3 linked regions of the Arabidopsis thaliana genome follow. Each later gene encodes a partner of the first gene's protein in a complex. Each region holds a gene or a part of one and is shown on either strand. Other genes may lie near its edges. The genes, in order: TOC120, TOC33 and TOC34.

What was found.
Region 2: TOC120 (region 1) and TOC33 share a complex: the UniProt entries of both Arabidopsis thaliana proteins name them as parts of the TOC core complex.
Region 3: TOC120 (region 1) and TOC34 share a complex: the UniProt entries of both Arabidopsis thaliana proteins name them as parts of the TOC core complex.

What each region holds. Positions count from the first base shown.
Region 1 is NC_003074.8:5,656,192-5,664,788, reverse strand, and holds TOC120 (translocon outer complex protein 120), read left to right. Parts: upstream 1-2,722; 5' UTR 2,723-2,848; intron 2,849-3,022; 5' UTR 3,023-3,050; coding exon 3,051-6,320; 3' UTR 6,321-6,453; downstream 6,454-8,597. Other genes in the region: KINESIN-13A (P-loop containing nucleoside triphosphate hydrolases superfamily protein), read left to right, coding at 1-30, 278-607, 800-1,018, 1,109-1,679, 1,791-1,856, 1,947-2,129; AT3G16610 (pentatricopeptide (PPR) repeat-containing protein), read left to right, coding at 6,454-8,418. UniProt on the Arabidopsis thaliana protein: GTPase involved in protein precursor import into chloroplasts. Seems to recognize chloroplast-destined precursor proteins and regulate their presentation to the translocation channel through GTP hydrolysis.
Region 2 is NC_003070.9:446,629-453,419, forward strand, and holds TOC33 (translocon at the outer envelope membrane of chloroplasts 33), read right to left. Parts: upstream 3,799-6,791; 5' UTR 3,733-3,798; intron 3,631-3,732; 5' UTR 3,619-3,630; coding exon 3,523-3,618; intron 3,419-3,522; coding exon 3,311-3,418; intron 3,211-3,310; coding exon 3,086-3,210; intron 2,862-3,085; coding exon 2,597-2,861; intron 2,496-2,596; coding exon 2,427-2,495; intron 2,346-2,426; coding exon 2,184-2,345; intron 2,106-2,183; coding exon 2,037-2,105; 3' UTR 1,795-2,036; downstream 1-1,794. Other genes in the region: AT1G02290 (uncharacterized protein), read right to left, coding at 4,018-5,349; AT1G02300 (Cysteine proteinases superfamily protein), read left to right, coding at 6,660-6,737. UniProt on the Arabidopsis thaliana protein: GTPase involved in protein precursor import into chloroplasts. Seems to recognize chloroplast-destined precursor proteins and regulate their presentation to the translocation channel through GTP hydrolysis. Binds GTP, GDP, XTP, but not ATP.
Region 3 is NC_003076.8:1,471,808-1,478,816, forward strand, and holds TOC34 (translocon at the outer envelope membrane of chloroplasts 34), read right to left. Parts: upstream 4,628-7,009; 5' UTR 4,475-4,627; exon of another isoform or gene 3,982-4,474; 5' UTR 3,966-3,981; coding exon 3,864-3,965; intron 3,777-3,863; coding exon 3,669-3,776; intron 3,568-3,668; coding exon 3,443-3,567; intron 3,341-3,442; coding exon 3,076-3,340; intron 2,985-3,075; coding exon 2,916-2,984; intron 2,824-2,915; coding exon 2,662-2,823; intron 2,566-2,661; coding exon 2,455-2,565; 3' UTR 2,220-2,454; downstream 1-2,219. Other genes in the region: SUN1 (SAD1/UNC-84 domain protein 1), read right to left, coding at 1-217, 875-1,963; AT5G05010 (clathrin adaptor complexes medium subunit family protein), read left to right, coding at 5,330-5,332, 5,462-5,501, 5,590-5,813, 5,964-6,206, 6,283-6,454, 6,628-6,926. UniProt on the Arabidopsis thaliana protein: GTPase involved in protein precursor import into chloroplasts. Seems to recognize chloroplast-destined precursor proteins and regulate their presentation to the translocation channel through GTP hydrolysis.

The sequences.
Region 1 (8,597 bases):
AAAGCTGTTCGATCTTCTCAGTGAGAGAAAGTTAGTGTTCTTTCTTTTTCTCATTTCTTATAAATGTCGTCTTTGTTGAGGGGTTTTATGTTTTCCTTTTCTTTTGGCATATACTTTGTTCAGGCATATACTAGCTTATAATTGTTATTTCGATGTCAGTATATCGTAAACATTGGCACTTATTCATCCTATCAGTGTCAATACTTTCCATTGTTGTCTACTACTATCGCAAATGCATGTTTACCATTGTCTAAATCATTCAGTTATTGCCGAGTAGGAAACTTTGCATGCGAGAAGATGGTAGACAGCAAGTTTGCATTGTTGGCCTGCAAGAATATGAAGTTTCAGATGTACAAATTGTAAAGGATTTTATCGAGAAAGGAAATGCCGAAAGGAGCACAGGTTCAACTGGAGCAAATGAGGAATCTTCTAGATCGCATGCCATCCTACAGCTTGTTGTAAAAAAGCATGTTGAGGTAAAAGACACTAGACGGAGGAATAATGATAGTAATGAATTGCCTGGGAAAGTTGTGGGAAAGATTTCTTTCATTGACCTTGCTGGCAGTGAAAGAGGTGCAGACACCACAGACAATGATCGCCAGACAAGGTAAAGATTCTCTTTGCCCCTGTGATTGAGTAGTTTGAGAATTGACCTACCACTAATGTGTAGATTAAAATTTATGCCTCTGTTGGACTTGTGGGCATTGATAAAGTGGCACTTTGCTGCTACCTTTTTACTTTAGGACCACCACACTTCAGATCTAAATGCTTCATTGTTTTCATTGTGGATTTTTCTTAGGATTGAAGGCGCAGAAATCAACAAGAGTCTCTTGGCTCTTAAGGAATGTATACGTGCACTGGACAATGACCAGCTACATATACCATTTCGTGGAAGCAAACTAACGGAAGTGCTCCGTGACTCATTTGTTGGAAACTCAAGAACGGTGATGATTTCCTGCATCTCTCCAAATGCAGGATCGTGTGAACATACCCTCAATACTCTAAGATATGCTGATCGGTATGTTTTGTACAAACTATAGCCTCTTGTGAAACAAATTCTCAATTTCATCGTCTATTAACCTCTGTTGGTTATGTATGGAATAAACAGAGTCAAAAGTCTATCTAAAAGTGGAAATAGCAAGAAAGATCAAACTGCGAATTCAATGCCTCCGGTTAATAAGGATCCTTTGTTGGGCCCAAATGATGTAGAAGATGTCTTTGAGCCTCCACAGGAAGTGAATGTACCAGAAACCAGGAGGAGGGTGGTCGAGAAGGACAGCAACAGCAGTACGTCGGGTATTGACTTCAGACAGCCTACAAATTATCGAGAGGAAAGTGGAATCCCATCATTCTCAATGGACAAGGGAAGATCAGAGCCGAACAGTTCTTTTGCTGGCTCCACTAGTCAGAGAAACAACATTTCTTCATATCCCCAAGAAACTTCAGACCGTGAAGAGAAAGTAAAGAAAGTGTCACCACCTCGTGGGAAAGGGTTGCGGGAAGAAAAACCAGACAGACCACAAAATTGGTCTAAAAGAGATGTCAGTTCGTCGGATATCCCTACCTTGACAAATTTTAGACAGAACGCAAGTGAAACTGCTTCAAGGCAATATGAAACCGCTTCAAGGCAATATGAAACCGACCCTTCGCTTGATGAAAACCTCGATGCACTGCTTGAGGTAAAGTACTCACCTATCCCTTTAAAACATGAGATGAAGCTGTGAATTTGATTTGCAAGTAACGGTAGTTCTGTTTATGTCTTATCGTAACCATCACATGACTTTTTTCAGGAAGAAGAAGCTCTGATTGCAGCGCACAGAAAAGAAATTGAGGATACAATGGAGATTGTTCGCGAGGTATGTAAATCACATCATTGCAGCGCACAAAAAACGATTGTAGAATGTTATCACATCATTCAATTTTCTTTTCTGTTATATCATTATCAGGAAATGAAACTTCTAGCGGAGGTGGACCAACCGGGAAGCATGATAGAAAACTATGTGACGCAACTGAGCTTTGTGTTGTCCCGGAAAGCAGCAGGGCTAGTCAGTCTTCAAGCCAGGCTTGCTCGGTTCCAACACCGTCTCAAGGAACAAGAAATACTGAGCCGTAAGAGAGTTCCTCGGTAGTTGGTAGAAGAAGGAAAACCAAAAGTGTGGTGTTGTTTAAGTGTGAAAGGTTGGTTGGGTGATCTCTTCTTATATATGACAAAGAATGACAGAAATGTCCTTCATGTTTGTGAATTTGGGCATTTCTTTCCTTTTATTTTTGAATCTTTATTATAAAGTTATACCTTTTGTGTTTCTTATTTTTCTCTTCTCCTCTATCCTCCCAGAAAGCTGGATACTGTCAATGTGAATCAAACTCTTTTATCAATCAACTGAAAAAGTATAAAACCATTTATCATCTGAAAATGTTTCAAAATTTGGTGAGCCATATATAAAATCAAATTTCTAACAATTAATAAGATCTTCAAATACCATCTATATAGTGACAACCAATGAAAAGACAGTTGAATAGCTCCAAAAGAACAAATAAAGCAATTCTCTCTTGTCGTAAAGATAAAATGGCCAACAAGATTATGCAGCCCAACTAAAAAGGCCTTGGCCCACACTTTACTATTGATCACGTGACATGCCTTTTTCACGATTGCAATATAAGAGCCATTTTCCACCGTCCGATGTTAAAACCCAAACCGATTTAAACCGTCCATGAAAGTCGCTTATCTCCTTCTCCTTCCCGTCGTAGTCGCACTGTCGCAGGCGAGTAAAAGGCGATTTATACAAATACAAAAAAAGCGCATGAAGTTGTTTTTTTTTCTTTCCAGACTTTTGCCTTCTCTAACCAGGTTAGATTCTCGCCATCACTTTTTCTCCTCAATATCAATAGATTCTTCTTTGTATTTTCTGAATTCCTATGAGCAAAATATACCTACGATTTGGAAAATATTAGTTTCACTCCCATTTAATTTAGTGTCTTGTGGATTTAAAAGTAACGAGGATACAAAATTTGGTTGGTGCAGTGTTTCGTGATTTTGGGTGATCCTAGAAATGGGAGATGGGGCTGAGATTGTAACCAGGTTATATGGGGATGAGAAGAAGCTTGCAGAGGATGGTAGAATTAGTGAGTTGGTGGGATCTGATGAAGTGAAGGATAATGAAGAAGAGGTCTTTGAGGAAGCAATTGGTTCGCAGGAGGGTCTAAAACCTGAATCTCTCAAAACCGATGTGTTGCAAGAGGATTTTCCTTTAGCTTCCAATGATGAAGTGTGTGATTTGGAAGAAACAAGTAGAAATGAGAGAGGAGTAGAAAATTTAAAGGTTAATTATTCGGAGATTGGAGAGAGCCATGGTGAGGTTAACGAGCAATGTATAACTACGAAAGAGGCTGATTCTGATTTGGTGACTCTCAAAATGAATGATTATGATCACGGGGAAGTAGCAGATGCAGATATTTCTTATGGTAAAATGGCATCAAGCTTGGATGTGGTTGAGAACAGTGAGAAAGCTACTTCCAATTTAGCTACTGAGGATGTGAATTTGGAAAACGGAAATACACATTCTTCTTCAGAAAATGGAGTAGTCTCTCCTGATGAGAATAAAGAACTGGTGGCGGAAGTTATCTCAGTAAGTGCCTGTTCCGTGGAAACAGGGAGTAATGGTATTGACGACGAAAAATGGGAGGAAGAAATTGATGTATCAGCTGGCATGGTAACAGAACAAAGAAATGGTAAGACTGGTGCTGAGTTCAATAGTGTTAAAATTGTTTCAGGTGACAAATCCTTGAATGATAGTATTGAAGTAGCAGCTGGGACCTTATCTCCATTGGAAAAATCTAGTTCGGAGGAGAAGGGAGAGACTGAAAGTCAAAACAGTAATGGAGGACATGATATTCAATCTAATAAGGAAATTGTAAAGCAGCAAGATAGCAGTGTAAATATAGGTCCAGAGATTAAGGAAAGCCAACATATGGAAAGAGAATCTGAGGTATTAAGTTCTGTTTCACCAACAGAGTCTAGAAGTGATACTGCAGCATTACCACCTGCTCGCCCAGCAGGTCTTGGTCGTGCTGCTCCACTTTTGGAACCTGCACCACGCGTTACACAACAGCCTCGTGTCAATGGAAATGTGTCTCACAATCAGCCTCAGCAAGCTGAAGACTCTACCACTGCAGAGACAGATGAGCATGATGAGACCCGTGAGAAGCTCCAGTTTATCAGGGTCAAATTTTTGAGGCTTTCACATAGATTAGGGCAAACTCCACATAATGTTGTTGTTGCTCAGGTTTTGTACAGGCTTGGATTGGCTGAACAGTTGAGGGGCAGAAACGGAAGCCGTGTTGGTGCCTTTAGTTTTGATCGTGCCAGTGCCATGGCAGAACAGCTTGAGGCAGCTGCACAAGATCCCCTTGATTTTTCTTGTACGATTATGGTGCTTGGTAAAAGTGGGGTTGGTAAAAGTGCAACCATCAATTCTATTTTTGATGAACTGAAAATTAGTACTGATGCATTCCAGGTGGGGACAAAGAAGGTTCAGGATATTGAGGGTTTTGTTCAGGGAATTAAGGTACGGGTAATTGACACTCCCGGTCTCTTACCATCCTGGTCAGATCAACACAAGAATGAGAAGATCCTGAAGTCTGTTAGGGCATTCATCAAGAAAAGTCCGCCTGACATTGTGTTATATCTTGATAGGTTGGATATGCAAAGCAGAGATTCTGGTGACATGCCTCTCTTACGCACCATCACTGATGTTTTTGGACCATCAATATGGTTTAATGCCATTGTGGGTTTGACTCATGCCGCTTCGGCTCCACCAGATGGCCCAAATGGTACTGCTTCTAGCTATGACATGTTTGTGACACAACGTTCTCATGTCATCCAGCAGGCCATTCGCCAAGCAGCGGGAGATATGAGGCTCATGAACCCTGTTTCTTTAGTTGAGAACCACTCTGCTTGCAGGACAAATCGGGCAGGCCAGAGAGTATTACCTAATGGCCAAGTGTGGAAGCCTCATTTGTTATTACTCTCATTTGCATCCAAGATTCTTGCCGAAGCAAATGCTCTTCTGAAATTACAAGATAATATTCCAGGGGGACAATTTGCAACTCGGTCCAAGGCTCCGCCACTACCATTGCTCCTCTCATCGCTTCTGCAATCAAGACCACAAGCTAAGCTTCCTGAGCAACAGTACGATGATGAAGACGATGAAGATGATTTAGACGAATCATCAGATTCTGAGGAAGAATCAGAGTATGATGAGCTTCCTCCCTTTAAGCGGTTGACTAAAGCAGAGATGACTAAGCTTAGCAAATCTCAGAAGAAGGAATATCTCGATGAGATGGAGTATCGGGAGAAACTATTTATGAAGAGACAGATGAAAGAGGAAAGAAAGAGACGTAAGTTGTTGAAGAAATTTGCTGCTGAGATTAAAGATATGCCTAACGGGTATAGTGAAAATGTGGAAGAGGAGAGAAGTGAACCTGCATCTGTTCCAGTTCCAATGCCAGATTTATCTCTACCTGCATCTTTTGACTCTGACAATCCTACTCATCGGTACCGGTACCTTGATACCTCCAATCAATGGCTTGTTAGGCCAGTGCTGGAAACTCATGGGTGGGATCATGATATTGGTTATGAAGGTGTGAATGCGGAACGACTATTTGTTGTTAAAGACAAAATACCAGTATCTTTCTCTGGCCAAGTGACAAAGGACAAGAAGGATGCACATGTGCAGCTAGAATTGGCCAGCTCGGTTAAACATGGAGAAGGTAGATCAACTTCCCTAGGTTTTGACATGCAAAATGCTGGGAAGGAATTAGCGTACACTATTCGAAGTGAAACAAGATTTAACAAGTTTAGGAAAAACAAAGCAGCAGCTGGTCTCTCTGTTACGCTCTTAGGTGATTCAGTTTCCGCGGGACTAAAAGTCGAAGATAAGTTGATTGCTAATAAACGGTTCAGGATGGTTATGTCAGGTGGAGCAATGACTAGTCGTGGAGATGTTGCTTATGGTGGTACTTTAGAAGCTCAGTTTCGAGATAAAGATTATCCGCTTGGTCGGTTTTTATCAACTCTTGGACTCTCTGTGATGGATTGGCATGGCGATCTTGCTATCGGAGGGAATATACAGTCTCAAGTACCCATTGGACGTTCCTCTAATCTCATTGCTCGTGCTAATCTGAATAACAGAGGAGCAGGGCAAGTAAGCATCCGCGTAAACAGCTCTGAGCAGCTTCAACTTGCTGTGGTTGCACTTGTTCCTCTGTTCAAGAAGCTTCTTACTTATTATTCCCCTGAGCAAATGCAATATGGACACTGATGAGTAACATTTAACTGTTTTGATTTTTTCTTGAAACATGTTTTTCTTTTTTTAGTTGTCGGAATTCACTTTTGTTTTAAGTCTTTGATGTTTGGTTGTAACATATGTCTGAAACTTAAAATCCATTATCCCAATGTTTCTAAGTCTTCTTGAAACCTGTATTCGCTCAAGGAATCTGGTCTTAGGTCAGGTCATTCATCAGCATCTTCTTAAACGCTCTCTTACGTTAAGTTCCTCTACAGTGCTCGTCAATTTAACACGTCTTTACGCATCATGCAATGAAGTGGAACTTGCACGCCATGTGTTCGATGAAATTCCTCATCCAAGGATCAATCCTATTGCTTGGGATTTGATGATCAGAGCCTATGCTTCGAATGATTTCGCGGAAAAAGCTTTGGATTTGTACTACAAGATGCTGAATTCTGGTGTTAGACCCACGAAATATACGTACCCGTTTGTTTTGAAAGCATGTGCTGGTCTTCGAGCAATTGACGATGGTAAGCTGATACATAGTCATGTGAATTGTAGCGACTTTGCAACTGATATGTATGTATGTACTGCTCTGGTTGATTTCTATGCTAAGTGTGGGGAACTTGAGATGGCTATAAAGGTGTTCGACGAAATGCCTAAGAGAGATATGGTTGCTTGGAATGCTATGATTTCTGGGTTTTCTTTACATTGCTGTTTAACTGATGTCATTGGATTGTTTTTGGATATGCGTAGAATCGATGGTCTGAGTCCTAATCTATCCACCATCGTTGGGATGTTTCCTGCACTAGGAAGGGCTGGTGCATTGAGGGAAGGGAAAGCTGTTCATGGGTATTGCACAAGAATGGGTTTTAGCAATGATTTAGTTGTTAAGACTGGGATCTTGGATGTATATGCCAAGAGCAAGTGCATTATCTATGCGAGAAGAGTTTTCGATTTAGACTTTAAGAAGAATGAGGTAACCTGGAGTGCTATGATTGGAGGCTACGTAGAAAACGAAATGATAAAGGAAGCTGGAGAAGTGTTTTTTCAGATGTTGGTTAATGATAATGTGGCAATGGTGACGCCAGTTGCCATTGGGCTTATTCTGATGGGTTGTGCAAGGTTTGGAGATCTAAGTGGAGGGCGATGTGTACATTGTTACGCGGTTAAAGCAGGCTTCATCTTAGACTTAACTGTTCAAAACACCATAATTTCATTTTATGCTAAGTATGGAAGCTTATGTGATGCTTTTAGGCAGTTTAGTGAGATTGGCTTGAAAGATGTTATTTCATATAATTCTCTCATCACTGGGTGTGTAGTGAACTGTCGCCCAGAAGAGAGTTTTCGTCTATTTCATGAGATGAGAACATCTGGAATTCGTCCTGATATTACAACATTGCTTGGTGTCTTAACCGCTTGCTCTCACTTGGCTGCTTTGGGACACGGTTCTAGTTGCCACGGGTATTGTGTTGTTCATGGCTATGCAGTTAACACAAGCATTTGTAATGCACTGATGGATATGTACACAAAGTGTGGAAAACTTGATGTAGCCAAGAGAGTTTTCGACACAATGCATAAGCGGGATATAGTTTCGTGGAACACAATGCTGTTCGGATTCGGAATTCATGGTCTTGGCAAAGAAGCTCTTTCTCTGTTCAACAGTATGCAGGAAACAGGTGTGAACCCAGACGAGGTGACTCTTCTTGCTATTTTGTCTGCTTGTAGCCATTCAGGACTAGTGGATGAAGGGAAACAACTGTTCAACTCCATGTCTCGAGGAGATTTCAACGTCATCCCAAGAATAGACCATTACAATTGCATGACTGATCTTCTAGCCCGTGCCGGATACTTGGATGAAGCTTATGATTTTGTAAACAAGATGCCATTTGAGCCCGATATTCGCGTGTTGGGTACACTTCTCTCTGCTTGTTGGACGTACAAGAATGCGGAACTTGGGAATGAAGTGTCGAAAAAGATGCAGAGTCTTGGTGAAACAACAGAAAGCTTAGTTCTTCTATCCAACACCTACTCAGCTGCTGAGAGATGGGAAGATGCAGCTAGAATTAGAATGATACAGAAGAAAAGAGGGCTTCTCAAGACTCCGGGTTATAGCTGGGTCGATGTTTGATTAATGATATGAAATTAGGGTTTTGCAGTGGAAGAGAAAAACGTAATCGAGAAGGCAAAGAGAATTGCTTACTCTGTTTTCAGCTTCCTACTTGAAATCACAGCCGTTAAAAACAATTTAACTCCTGAAATCAGATAAGGACCGTTGGATTAGTATGTGTGTAATATATATATAGCAAT
Region 2 (6,791 bases), on another chromosome or scaffold:
ACACGGTCTTGTTGTATCACACCGATTATATATTATCGTTTTACAGCAATGTTTATATCATGCCTACAAAATATAGGGATTCAAATTGCTTAACCACGTTGTATTCTTCTTCTTCTTCTTGTCCAACTTTTTCTACGAAATTATAGCAAATCAAATTCATGCTATTTATTGAACGCAAATGTTTAATTTTCAGACAAATCAGATTCTTACTTTTGCTGTTCAAACCCCAAAATTCAATGAAGAAATTTTATAATATTCATCAGATACTGAGCGGATTTTAAGCAAAAAACCAAGAGAAGTGATAGATACTGAGCGAGTTTGATATGAAGATTATCTTGGCCGGAGGTTGATTATCGTCTTTCCAACGAAGCAACTGCAACACCATTATATGGATATTTGGTGTCTCGTCATCAGAGTCGTGCCAATGAATTTTGATGCTATAAACAAAAAAATATAGTTTAATATTTTAATAAATAATGTAAACATAACAAAAAAATTATTTATTAAAATATACACATAACAAAGAAGACGGAAAGCTCCTCTCTCACAAGCCAGGCTATCTCGCCACCTGCTATACCTTTGAATATTTCAAAGGTCTTTTTTGAGAAGTATTTCAAAGGTCCGTCTTCTTGACACTACCGGCGACAAGAGACATTTTTACAACGAAAGAGTTCGATAATAGAAAGGTTAGTAAAAAAATAAAAATATTCTTTGTCGTAATTATTTCAAAGGTCATTTTTGAGAAGTCAATAAAACTATGTTTTGTTTTGTTAACAACATGCATTATACCGTTTGATTGATAACATAATAACGACACTAGCACATTTTACTAGTTTACACATTATAATCAACCTAATCGTTTTTGGTCATATTTTTGTTCTAAATTATTTATGTTTTGCTTAAAATTTGCTTAATTTATTATTAAACTTTAAATATTAATTATTTTTTTTGTTATGTTTATAATATTTATTAAAATATTAAATCATATTTTCGCGTATGGTATCAAATTTTTTTGGCACGTTCTGTTTGGATGTTATGTCACAAAAATTAAAAATTTAGTACTTACAAAAAAAACAAAACATGGTTGAAAAAATCTTTCAATCAATTACTAAAAAAAAAAGTAAATGAAGAAAGCAATACCTCATGCAGCAGCTTGTGATATGATCCAAAAACAAATCGGGACAGCTAAAGGTCTTGGCTGGTACAAGCAAAAACTCGGTCTCCTTGAGCCCATCCAGCTTCTTTCAGGTACTACAACATATTAAAAAGATTGCACATGTCAAAATGACTATTACCATATCCAAATTTCGATTGTTTCCTACTTTCCTTTTATCTTCAACAGTTGTTTCCTTTTTCTTATTTGAGAACGTTCGAGAAATCTGGACCGTCTATTTTCATCATATTGCAACTGTGAGATCTGATGGTGATTATCTAATCTAAACGGTAAGTTTGTTAGATTATGTGGGACCGGGACGATCTATTTCTTAAACCTCTGTTACAAACAAACACTCATGTCTATTAGTATTAGGAAATAAGAGATGGATATGATGATGATTCCGAACCAATTCTCAATAAACTGTTTATAATGGAACAGAAGCAGCAGTGATTGATGATCTAACAGACATTGACATCAGGCTACCAATGCTAGTCTTCCTGTGGGAGATAGAAGCGGCCTTGGTTATGCCGAGTTTTCTGTTGATCTGTGTTTATGTAATCACCCGAGGATGCAAACAATTAATCCCATCAGCTAAAAGACTTGTTTGATTCAAAACAGACTTTAGCAGATCATTTGTTTTTCTTATCTACAGAACATAATATATTCTTTTTTTGGTGATATTATGATTGGGAAACATCCATTTCATTTAACCAGAAAGCATGGCAATCTTTTCTTTGAACAAATCTCCATAAATTACAGACAAAGATAAAGCCGGAAACAAGAAAATGTTGCAGATAAAATCTAACAAAAGAAAGAACAATCGAAAAACTCTTCTTCTCCTTGTAATTTGCTCACAACAAAACCTCTTCTTCAGAGCCTCTTAAAGTGGCTTTCCACTTGTCTTGATATCATTTCTGATTGCTCCTTGAATCATCTTAACGATCAAATACTGCAAAGTAGAAGAAAGGATTTCACTTGTTTACCAAATTCGAACAAGACAATAAATCAAACTGTGTCTCTTTCTTACCTGAGCGCCTATGATAAGAGGGATGAGTTTCTTTCCTTTATCATCAGAGTAAGATCCATCTACCATCTTCTTGTCTACATGAATTGCTTTCCTCTGGTTTGTTGCTACATCAGTTATCGCCTTAACCAAGTTCGGGATCCACGCTTCACCATTTGGAAGAGCCTGAACCGAGAGCAGGTAAGCAACTTTTAACAGTCAGTCTCTCTCCAAGTCGGATCAAATCAGAGATTCGAAAACACAAACCTTTTCGTCCTTATCGTTCTTGCTGCATCTTCCGCTGTTCTCTGCATAGACTACCGCGATTGCAGAATCCTACAAGCCAGTAAAGAATGAAACTGATTCTTGCTACAATGAACCAAACATACATTGGTATAACAATTTTCGGAGACAGGTATATGTATAAATAACCATACCTCAAACTCTTGTTTTCGCATCTTAGAACCAGCCCGGATAGTTTTGAGGAGAGAATCTGATCTCTTGGAGGAAAAAGTTTCGTAGGAAAGTTCATCGGGAGGGGAAAATTGAGCATGAGTCAGAACAAGCAAGGTTTTGCACCATATCTCTTTTCCAAAGGTTTGGGTGATTGCTATAACAACTTGCTTATCTAGCTCATCGACTCTATACACATCCAAACGATCAACATAGAGCAAGACATCTATTGTTCTGTTCACAAGAAACCTGTCCAAAATCCGAGAAACACAACAACTATCGTAAAACTTCCACACACACTCCAATATACAGCTTCAGCGTAAACCAGATACTCATAATTCACAATTTCAACAGAAACCCACAAGTAAACATGTTAACCACATATATACTTAGCTTAATTAATTCAAAAACGAATGAGATAATCCTATATGCAACAATCAACGAAGAGATATTCCAAAAGAGTAGCTACTGACCCTTTGATTAACTCGAGAGCTTGGTGATTGACATATCCAGCTTCCACAAGTCCAGGGGTGTCAATAATGTTGATAGTGAACCCTCCCATTGTTCTTGAAACCATCACTGGTCTCAATCCTTCAGCCTACAAAATCAACAAAACAGAGCCATCAAATATCTTGAAATGACTACTCTTTCTTAATCCAAATTAAAAAAATCAAGCTTAGGGAAACTGAATTACGTACTTGGAAAGGACTGACACGGACGACTTGTTCGCCGATAAGAGAATTGACAGTGGATGATTTTCCGACACCGCCTTTACCCAGAACAAGAACTGTCATTGAGTTCATATCCTGCAATTACAAAAACCTCCCATCATTATCTCCTAATCACAACGGAGAATCCGAGAAACCGACTTAAGCACCAAAGAAACAGGAACAACAACAACAAAACACACCTTTTGCTTCAATTTTCCGAAGAATTCAATCAGCTTTTCCTGGGTAGCTGCTGGAAATTGCTGAAACCCAACCCATTCACGAACGAGAGACCCCATCACTCCTAAACCCTTCAGCAAAAAAATTCTTTTGGTAAATAATCGCTGAGTGATGACGATGATGATAATTAATTTCGAAAGCGATAACGTTTTGGGAGATTTGGAGGAGCTTACCGTTGTGTGAGGAGCGTTTGAGGTTTTTGGAAGAAGCTCTCTCGATGTGTTCCGCAGAGAAAAGCTAAAGAATGTGACCTTATCGGTAATTTGTTTAATAGTTCAAATTATTTTCACTTTTACTCCTCTATTTCTTTAGTGTTTCTTTTTAGTGCCTTCAAATTTTGAAAACTAACAAACTCAACCCCAAACCAAATCCAGTTACCAAGTTGCAGCATTACACTTCATATTTTCATGGAAGACTACATTAGGTGGAACATTGAATTAGCATAGCGTCACGGGAGCTCAAGCGATTCTCTGAACCTTTCTTCGCTTGTAAGTCAAGGAAAACAAATGGTCACTATTGGCTTCTCGAGCATGATTGTCTTCGCTCAGGACCCCCAGCGGTTTTCTCAGAGCCTTGGCTTCCCTCTGAAAGTTATTACTAGACGAAATCCTCTTGCTCTCTGTTGTTTCAGAGCCTCTGTCAACAGTCCTAGGCTTAAAACCAGGAGACTTCAGGTGGTACCGGACATATTCTTCTTGCTTTAGAGGTATATTCTGTTCTGTGATGGAGTAATTTGAAACACGGAGAGCACTGGGAACAGTGTGTGTTGGATCATGAAACACCGGTTCTGTACCTTGGATTGATCTTTGTGTAGTTTCCAAATAGGTTAAGAAAGGGTCTGGGATAGAACAGCCAAGAGTTCCGTAGGGTGGTTTCTCAAATGTCGTACCTAAGTATGGAGACGCTGCAAATCTAGTACTCTTTGAACCGGTTTCATGGATTTGCAGGAGATTGTTTCCTGGAGCTACATAGGGTTTCCTGAGGATGGCAGAAGAAGATTTAGGGACTAATTTGAGAACACCCTTTGGCAAAGTCTGATGATGATGGCCAGCAGAAACTAAGCTGGAACCTTGATACCGGAATACTCCTTCCTTGGTTATCTTTATCTTGAGACTGTTCTTGGAGCTGCCACTGCGAGGGAAGGTTAAACTTTTCGATCTATTTCTTTCCACGGGTTTCACTACATTGGGAGTTTTGAATCTACATGTAGCACTATCCATTTCCTTAGATGGAACTCTATTGAGGTCCAGTAGCTTGAGATTACCGGTTTGAGTTCGTCCTGACCAAATGAGGAGCCTTGAGTAATTGCCCAATTTATTTCCATACTGAACCCACACCCTTTGCATTTCGGTAAATGTCCTGATCAGCTTTTCATGATAGAACTTTAAAGAGTAGTAATACTTTCTCCTCTTGACAAACATAACACCTTCTTTGAAACAAGCTACCTTTGGAGTAAACAATCCACCTAGCAAATTCTTGTAAAACTTATCCTCTGGATTCCCAAAATATAAATTGGCACCATCAAGAAGTTCCTGCATCGTCAAACTGAAAGTCTGTGGATCCATATCTGGCAGAAAACATGAGAGGAAGAATCTTTCTTCTTCAGTCAGAAGTGAGTTCCAAGTCTCAACAGACAATATTCCCGTTAAATCTGGTAGATCGTAGAGCTCGTATGGTATGTTACAGAGCTGACCTTCAACCAAAGCTAGCTCACAGTTTACTTGCGCAATGTCGTAATCATCAGAGTCATCATCTTCAGAGTCTAGCCCAACTGTTTGATTCTTATTCATCTGTAGTTAACCACTTACTACCCTTAAAACACAAGTACTTCAAATCTCCAACCACAAACTCAGTAGAAAGGAACACAAGCAGGAGATACCTAGATAGAAAATGTTAAAGACTCATCATCAGCAATTCACATTACAAGAATTCTACTACAATACAATGGACAGCGAGAAGCTGAGTATGTTACTAATCAGAAATCAAACGAACATAAATAGCATTTTACTCACTGATTTCAGCAACAACAACACTAAAGGCTATATAAAACACGAAATATACATTGTGAGATCAATGAAGCACTCAAAAAGAAGAAGATACACAACACCAGAAAATCTCCCAGATCGGATCAGCTACAAAGCTTAAACGTAATCGATCGCGAACTCAATCAATAACCAAAATCAAAAGCTCCAACAAGGCAAATAACTAGAGAGCGAAAACCCTTGGATTTGACAACAAAAATGTGCAGACAATTTGAATAAAAAACAAGTATCATACAAATCTCAGCACAAATCAGCTCCAATGAGTTTCAAAAACCTACCGGAACTAATAAAAAAAAAGAATCTCGAGATATTCAGAGAAATCGATCGGAAAGCGTAAAAGACGAGGAGCTTACCGGCTCTAAAGACAGGTGAAATTAGCAGATTAGGGTCGAAGAAACCATATCCCTTTGGCTACAGATACGAACTTCATCGCCTTCAAAGATTCTCTGCTTCCTTTCTAGAGATTTCTATGGCTTTTCGATCGATGCGACAGTAGAGTAGAGACTAGAGAGACTAATTACTGTTACACTTGTATTTTGATTTCTTTAATTAAAGCCGCCTAAAGTAACTAATGCCTTGATTACTTTAATTAATAATCATTTTTAAATTGTGATTTATAATCAAGTTAGACATTACTTCACAAATAGTTTGGGCCTGGAAACGTATAGGCCCATGTAAACTTTAATAAAAGAATCACCTTGCAGGTAAGTATAATATCCTGATATTATTATTTACTTGATAGAATGGGCCTATAATAAAAGAAATCACCATTAAAGAATTATAGGCCCATGATATCAAGTAAATATCAAGAAATGATGATTAATGATCAAGTTAGACATCATTACTTGATATTTTGGTAAGTAGGATCAATCAACGGTCAGGATCCTTTTAGTAAAATCATGTGTCATTTTCAGTTTGTCTAAAAGATAAGCCTTTCACTTTCTCTCTCTGTCTTATTAGAAAAGAAAATTTGTACCGTTTCCAAAGTCTGAGCCAATCATTGTGTTGATTCTGGAATTCTTTGTGGGAACGAGAAATTTGTACAAGGGAGATTCATCATGGCTGATAGTTGTTGTATCAGACTTCACTTATTAGCCTCTGTTTTCTTGCTCTTATTTTCATCCTTCAACTTGCAGGTACTTTAAACTTTCGTAATCTGTGTGTTAAAATTGCTTACTAAGATCGATTTG
Region 3 (7,009 bases), on another chromosome or scaffold:
TTCCGTGGTTCGAGGTGAAGTCTAGCCTGACAGTATCGATTAGACCAGAGCTTGATGACTCTAAGATGTTGAATGTTTGTGCGTTCGACCTGTCTAGGTCGTAAGTGAACTCTGTTAGAAGTTGCATGTTCTCTGTCTCCGCTGAGGATTCCGGTCCTTGCAGGGATCCTGATACACGGCAATCTTTTGGAGCACTCGATCTGTCGTAGGCTACACTCTGTTCATTTTCACAATGCATCAATCCATCAGGTCAGTGTACATATATAATCCCCAAAATAAGAATGACCCAAAAATGTCCAGAGACAGTAAGTAATGAGCGTATCCAAATGTCTTCTTTATTTCATTTTACTCGGTTATTGTCATTGAAATAACCCCAAACAAACAAAATAGTCTAGTTCCAGTCGTTGCAAATAGAAACAGAAGATAACCCAAAACCCTCAAAGGATCTATTTATGCATACTATTGAACTCTTTGACAAAGGTTTGAGATACTTCGATAGAGTGGTATTGTGTAATCAATTTCAAAAGATAATGCCAGAAAAAAACAGATCTTAAACAAACTCCTAAAGGTCAATGGCATATGGCACACACAGAATTGGAGAACTATGACGAGACCTACTGGATGATGACGAAACTTATTAAGTAACCATAATCCTCTTCAGTTCAGATCTTTTGCAGCAACCGATCTAAACTAATCTCAAGCCTCATTCAAACAATTTCATGCCATCAACAGTCACAAAGAAAATGGCGTCATTTTTTCCAGGCATCTCAATATCAAACCATTGTAAATGCAAACACCAAAGGTAGTAATAAGAGCACACAAGAAAGAAAACTGATACCAACACAAATAGTTTGCAGTACAAGAGTATCATTACCTTAGCTACATGCTCCAATGTGAAAGCCTCTGGTATGATTGGTCCTCTCAGCCTGATTTGCACATAGCCCTCGCTACCTTTCAGAGGAAAACATTGTCCAGGCTCACCGAAGCTCGGAGATAACATCTTAACCGCATTCGTATGAGCGCGCCGCATGGTAGTCGCAAACCAGCTACTCCCTTTACCAACAAGATAAGGATCTGAATGCTCCATCACAAAAGCACCACCAGAAGCCAATGCATAATCAACTCGGCCAAGGCCATCAGCAGCATGCTTTTCAATCTCTTTCTCCATAATATCACGAGCATAAGCCCTCAATTCATCAATGCTAATCTCACTAAAAGCAGAATCATCAACATTCCCCTTCTTCAGTTCCTCATAAATCCTCTCTAACTCATCTTTCGTCACCCAAGGTTTAGCATTTACTTCATCTACAGACTTCTCTAGTGACTCAGTTCTAGATTCTATCTTCTTCAACTCACTCTGAAATGCAGAAGCTTTCCTCTCGATTTCTTGCCTAAGCACTTTTGCTTCCCTCTCCATTTTCTTATCAAGCAATTCAACTTGAACCTGCATCGAATTCGTCGTAGCCTTAACAAGACCATCTACTTCCGCAATTCGGCTTTCCAATCCCGAAAACGCCATCTCCGTTTCATAAGAAGAAATCGGAGAGGACGGAGAAGAAGCCTTGAGAATCATCTTCCTCGTCAATTGAATTAACCCAACAATGATCAAAAGCGCACCAAGCTGCTTCGCAAATATCCTCACCACTGTCTTCCACCGCGCTTTCTCAGACTTAGGAGTCGCAACCTTCCGCGTCCGGCGCTGCGTAGCGGTGGTATTAGTCCCCGTCGCAGCGGAAACAGACCTTCTCGTCACAGGACCCAAATCTTGTCCCTGAGATCGATCAAGGGTAGCTTCACCGCGGCTCAGATCTCTACTCGTACCACCGGCTTCCCCAACACCACCGTTCGCAAGCGATTCGCTTTGAGGGTAATCAAAGTTTGATTTTTTCTCTCCGGCAAGAATCGGCGTCCGTCTAGTCGCTGCCGCCGTATTAGCGGTGATCGACACCGTTGATGCCGACATTTGATCTGGTTTGACTACACAATCGCACCCCTCGGATAAAAAACAAATCTTTACACTAATGTCGAAATCAGAACCCTAAATTCACTAGAGAGAGTTGGAAAATTCGAAAACTTTGTTCGAAATTGAGGAAAGAGTAAACGATCTTCTCTGAACCGTCTTCTCCGTTTGCCAAATTCCTCCTTTAAACATCGGTTTTTTTTTTCTTTAACTCAAATTTTTATTTTATTTCAAAACTTGCATCGCGTCAAAAATAACTGCAGCGGTTACTTTTACCATTAATGACAAAATGGAATTATCTCTTCTAATCATTTTCACCAAGAGAGTAGCTCTTAATTACGATTTACGAGAGGCTAAAGAAGATGTAATTAAGATGAGAGAACTTTGCGACAGTAATTATCTGTGAACCACATTTCTCGAGTTGTATCACAATTTCAACTACAGAACAATCTCTCAGATAGACAAACAAACCAAACAAAACTCGTGTCCACAACTCAAGACCTTCGACTTGCTAAACCGGAGTCTCGCAGCTCCCACGCCGGTTTACTCTCTCTCGAAACATCGGACTTGATTGCTCGAACCAATGGCTTCATCACCAGCAAGTACTGCATTTTCAAACCATCAAAAGATGAATAAATGATGCATGATGTTTTGATCAAGCCTTATTCTGTATTGTTACTGAATGGTTCAGAGGGGCTTACTTGGAATGCAAACATTAAAGGAATCAGTTTTTTTCCTCTTTCGTTTGGGTTTGGCCCTTCGACCAGTTTCTTGTCAACATGAATCGCCTTGTTGCCATTAAAAGAGATCTCTGTGATTTTGTTGAACAGATTGGGAATCCAACTAGTCCCGCATGGAAGAATCTGTCACAAATTTGGAAAATCCGACTTCAAGATTGGTCCAACTACTACAAGACGCGAGAAAAAGAGAACGTGGACAAAACCAATCAACTGACCTTTTCATCGCTTTCGTTCTTATGGCATCTTCCGCTGTTCTCAACAAGAATGACAGGAATAGAAAAACCCTACAATAAAAGATCAGAGGTAAGTGAGTCTATTAACTTGACTACTATCAAGGTCGTTACAGACATTTATGTAAGGAGGAAAAAACTATACCTGCAAATCCTGTTTCTTCAGTTGAGCGCCTGTCTGGATAACTTTTAGAAGAGCATTAGATCTTTTGGAGACAAAGTGGTTATAATTTAACCCGTCTGGTGGAGAGAACTGAGCATGGGTGAGAACAAGAGCAGACTTCTTCCATATCTCTTTACCAAATGCATCAGTTATAGCACCGACAACTTGCCTATCAAGGTCATCCACCCGGTACACATCCAAACGGTCTACGTATAGTAGCACATCTATAGTCATGTTGAGGAGAAATCTGTTCAAATTCAACATCCACGAATCCAAATTAATACAAATGCCACAAATGAGCCCCAAATTAGGAGAGTAACTCCTTAGACCTGGAAACAGTTCATCATACCGTTTTATAATGTTGATGGCTTGATCATTCACATATCCTCCCTCAATAAGACCAGGAGTGTCGATGATATTCAATGTAAATCCCGATCTTGTGCGAGAGACCAAGGTAGGCCTCAGTCCTTCAGACTATAAAGAGGGAAAATCACACACTTTCTATGAGAAAAATTAAAAGAAAGATAGCCAATAGTCATAAAGACAAGCCATGAGAAGAGCATTAAACTTGGCACCTGGAAAGTACTAACTGCAGCAGCTTTCTCGCCTATAACTGAATTCACAGTTGATGACTTTCCAACACCACCTTTCCCCATTACAAGGACCGTTAGCGAGCTCACATCCTACACCAGTTTTTTTTCTTTCTTAAATCTCTCTAAGACAAGAAGAAACAAACAGAAAGCAGATGAAGCTAGAAACAAGAAAGGAACCTCTTCTTTATACTTCCCAAGGATCTCGAGCAATTTAGATTGAGTAGCAGGTGGGAACTGCTGGATACCGATCCATTCACGAAGCGTTTGCAAAGCTGCCATGGACACAAATCCTTACCTACACTTCCAAGGAAAGCAAAAAAGGATCACAAAAGAGAAGACTAAATCATCTGCTAAGAAACTAAACAATCAGAAGACCAAAGAACAAAAATGAGTAATCGCCCATAAAAGAAAAAGTTGTCTGATTCCACTATCTGAATCAATCCTATAACTTTCTAGCAATTAAAGTCTCAGAAAATTAAAAAGAAGATAACTTTTTTTTACTAAGAACAAAAACCCTTAAAATCCATCTTCATTTGCCGTTGTCTCCATTAGTTTCTTTTTTCCAGATCTTTAAATGAAAATAATCTCATTGCTTTAGAAACGAACATGGCGCAAGTGGGCATACCAAAAACTAATAACTTAAGCACTAAACTAATCAAGTATTGAGAGATAATCAGAATCCTAAATCCTGAACTGGGGTCAAATGCCAATTTATCAAATGAGCATACTTCTAAGTGGACGAAGTGAAAACCAGATAAAGAAAGAAAACGAGAGAGAGAGTAACCTACCTGAGCTAGAGTTACTAGTGGCGGATATTCGTCGCCGGATTCGCTGACCTCGTATCAAATTAAAACCCTAGAACTGAAATTGACTTTTGAAGATGATTGATTGCTACAAATCTCAATACATGAAAGTACATTCCTTTCAAAATTCAACCGGACTAAACCGAATGTCGTCGGTCTGCACCAATGACGAATTTGCCCTTTTGGCATTTTTTCTTCCATTTACTGGGTTGGAAAGCCCAATAAGGAACTGAAACGGCCCAGATTACTTGTCCTTGTTTTGTGGATCGTCTTTTCTCTAACACACACACCAGGATTTAATCTGAGACTCGTTTCATCTTTTTTACTCGGCGAGCTTGTGAAGAAGAAACTGGTGATTTCATCTCCTTCGATCACTCCCAAGGTATCGTCTTGTTCTCTCGCTCTTCGCCTTCACTGATGGTGATGATTTTCGTTTTCCTTTGAATGAATGTTCTCTCTGGCTACATTTCTGTGGATCTCCATTATTAAGAATTTTCTCCTCCTTCTAAATTTCGCGATCCTGTTTCATGAATTTGATCCGCTTGTGTTGATTTTGATTCTACAGTTATGTTTTTCGATTATGAGCCTCTGATGCTCGTAGATCCGCTGGATCTGCGATGAATTCTTTTTATATTTTCGATTCGCTAGTCTAGTTTCGTTTGGATTCGTGTATTCGAGATCTCTTCCTCTATTACGTGATTTATGATCCTGAAGATCAAATCCCGTTTGTTTCTTCTGATCTCGCTCTAACTGGATTTACTCTAACATTGGTTCTTTGTATTTCAGATTCGCATTACCTTTCTTATAATCGCCGAGATTGTTCGAGCCTGAATAATCAAAATGGTATTGACTTTTGTTCTATGATTGGTTTTTTTCTTTTTCCTTTTTAGTGCATCTTCGCAATTTGGTGTTAACTTTAGTGTTTGATGAGTGTCTGGCGCGTTTTCTAAAGTTGGAACCTGTGCTTTATAGGTTGTGCTTGCTGCTGCCATTGTGGTCAAGTCTGGGAAAGGTTATTTTCATCTATCTTTGACTTTGTCTTCGAATTCTCGTTTTTCAATATTTTTGCGTTTTTTCTAACTTTCTTCTTTTTTATGTAGTGATTGTTTCCAGACACTATGTGGATATGTCCCGTATCAGAATCGAAGGTCTACTTGCAGCTTTTCCTAAGCTGGTTGGAATGGGAAAGCAGCATACCTATATCGAGACGGAGAATGTGCGATATGTTTATCAGCCTATTGAAGCTCTGTTCCTGCTTCTTGTTACAACTAAGCAGAGTAACATTCTAGAAGACCTGGCCACCCTTACTTTGCTCTCCAAACTTGTATGCTTCTTTCTTTCTTTCTTTCTTTTTTTTTTACTTCTGCTACTTTATTTGAGGAGATTATTGCCTTGACTCTGGATGTGTACTGGTTCTTAGTTCTTTTGAAAAGTGAGTGTTCCAAGTGCTGTTTGATCATTTGATTGTTTCTAGGTACCTGAGTATTCCATGTCTTTAGATGAAGAAGGGATTTCCAGGGCATCTTTTGAGCTCATATTTGCATTTGATGAAGTCATATCTCTTGGGCACAAGGAAAGTGTGACAGTTGCCCAGGTGAAGCAGTATTGTGAAATGGAAAGTCATGAGGAGAAGTTGCATAAACTGGTTATGCAGAGCAAGATCAATGACACTAAGGACGTGATGAAGCGTAAGGCTAATGAGATTGACAAAAGCAAGGTACATGACAGGAGCGCACCCTGCTGTTGTATTCTATTTCTGTAACTCCTATTAATATTTCTTATGTAATTCCTAGATTGAAAAGAATAAGCCAGGAGGATTTTCGTCCATGGGTTCAATGGGATCTGGAAGACTTGAAAGTGGTTTCAATGAATTGAGCATATCCAGTGGTGGCGGCGGTGGTTATGGAAGTGGTTCTGGGTTTGGCATGATTTCAGATGTCGACCCTATCAATACCAAACCAAAAGGTTAGTGTGCTTTAACTAGTGGATCATTCACAAATGACCGTTCAATCCCAAGTATTCAAATCAAAATGCCCTTCCATCTCGGGTTTCTTAAGCGCCTCTATATATATATACTTGATTTCGATTAGATAATCTCTTTGTTTTGAAATTCTTATCCACCGTGCTTAACTTCACAGATCGATCACGGTCTTCTGTTACTGCTCCTCCTAAGAGTTCTGGCATGAAACTTGGCAAGTCGGGAAAGAACCAGTTAATGGAGTCCCTTAAAGCAGAAGGTGAAGACGTCATTGAAGATGTTAAGCCTACTGGCCAATCCAAAGCAGCTGCCCCACCTCCAACTGATCCTTTCACATTAACTGTTGAAGAGAAGCTCAATGTTGCATTGAGACGAGATGGTGGACTTAGTAGCTTTGATATGCAGGGAACCCTGTCACTTCAAATTCTTAACCAAGAAGATGGATTTGTCCAAGTCCAGGTACTCCAACGTTCTTTCTTAACTATTTCCAAGAGCTTCCTATGCATTTTACAGTTTTCTTGAATTCATCACTTTCTGTATTT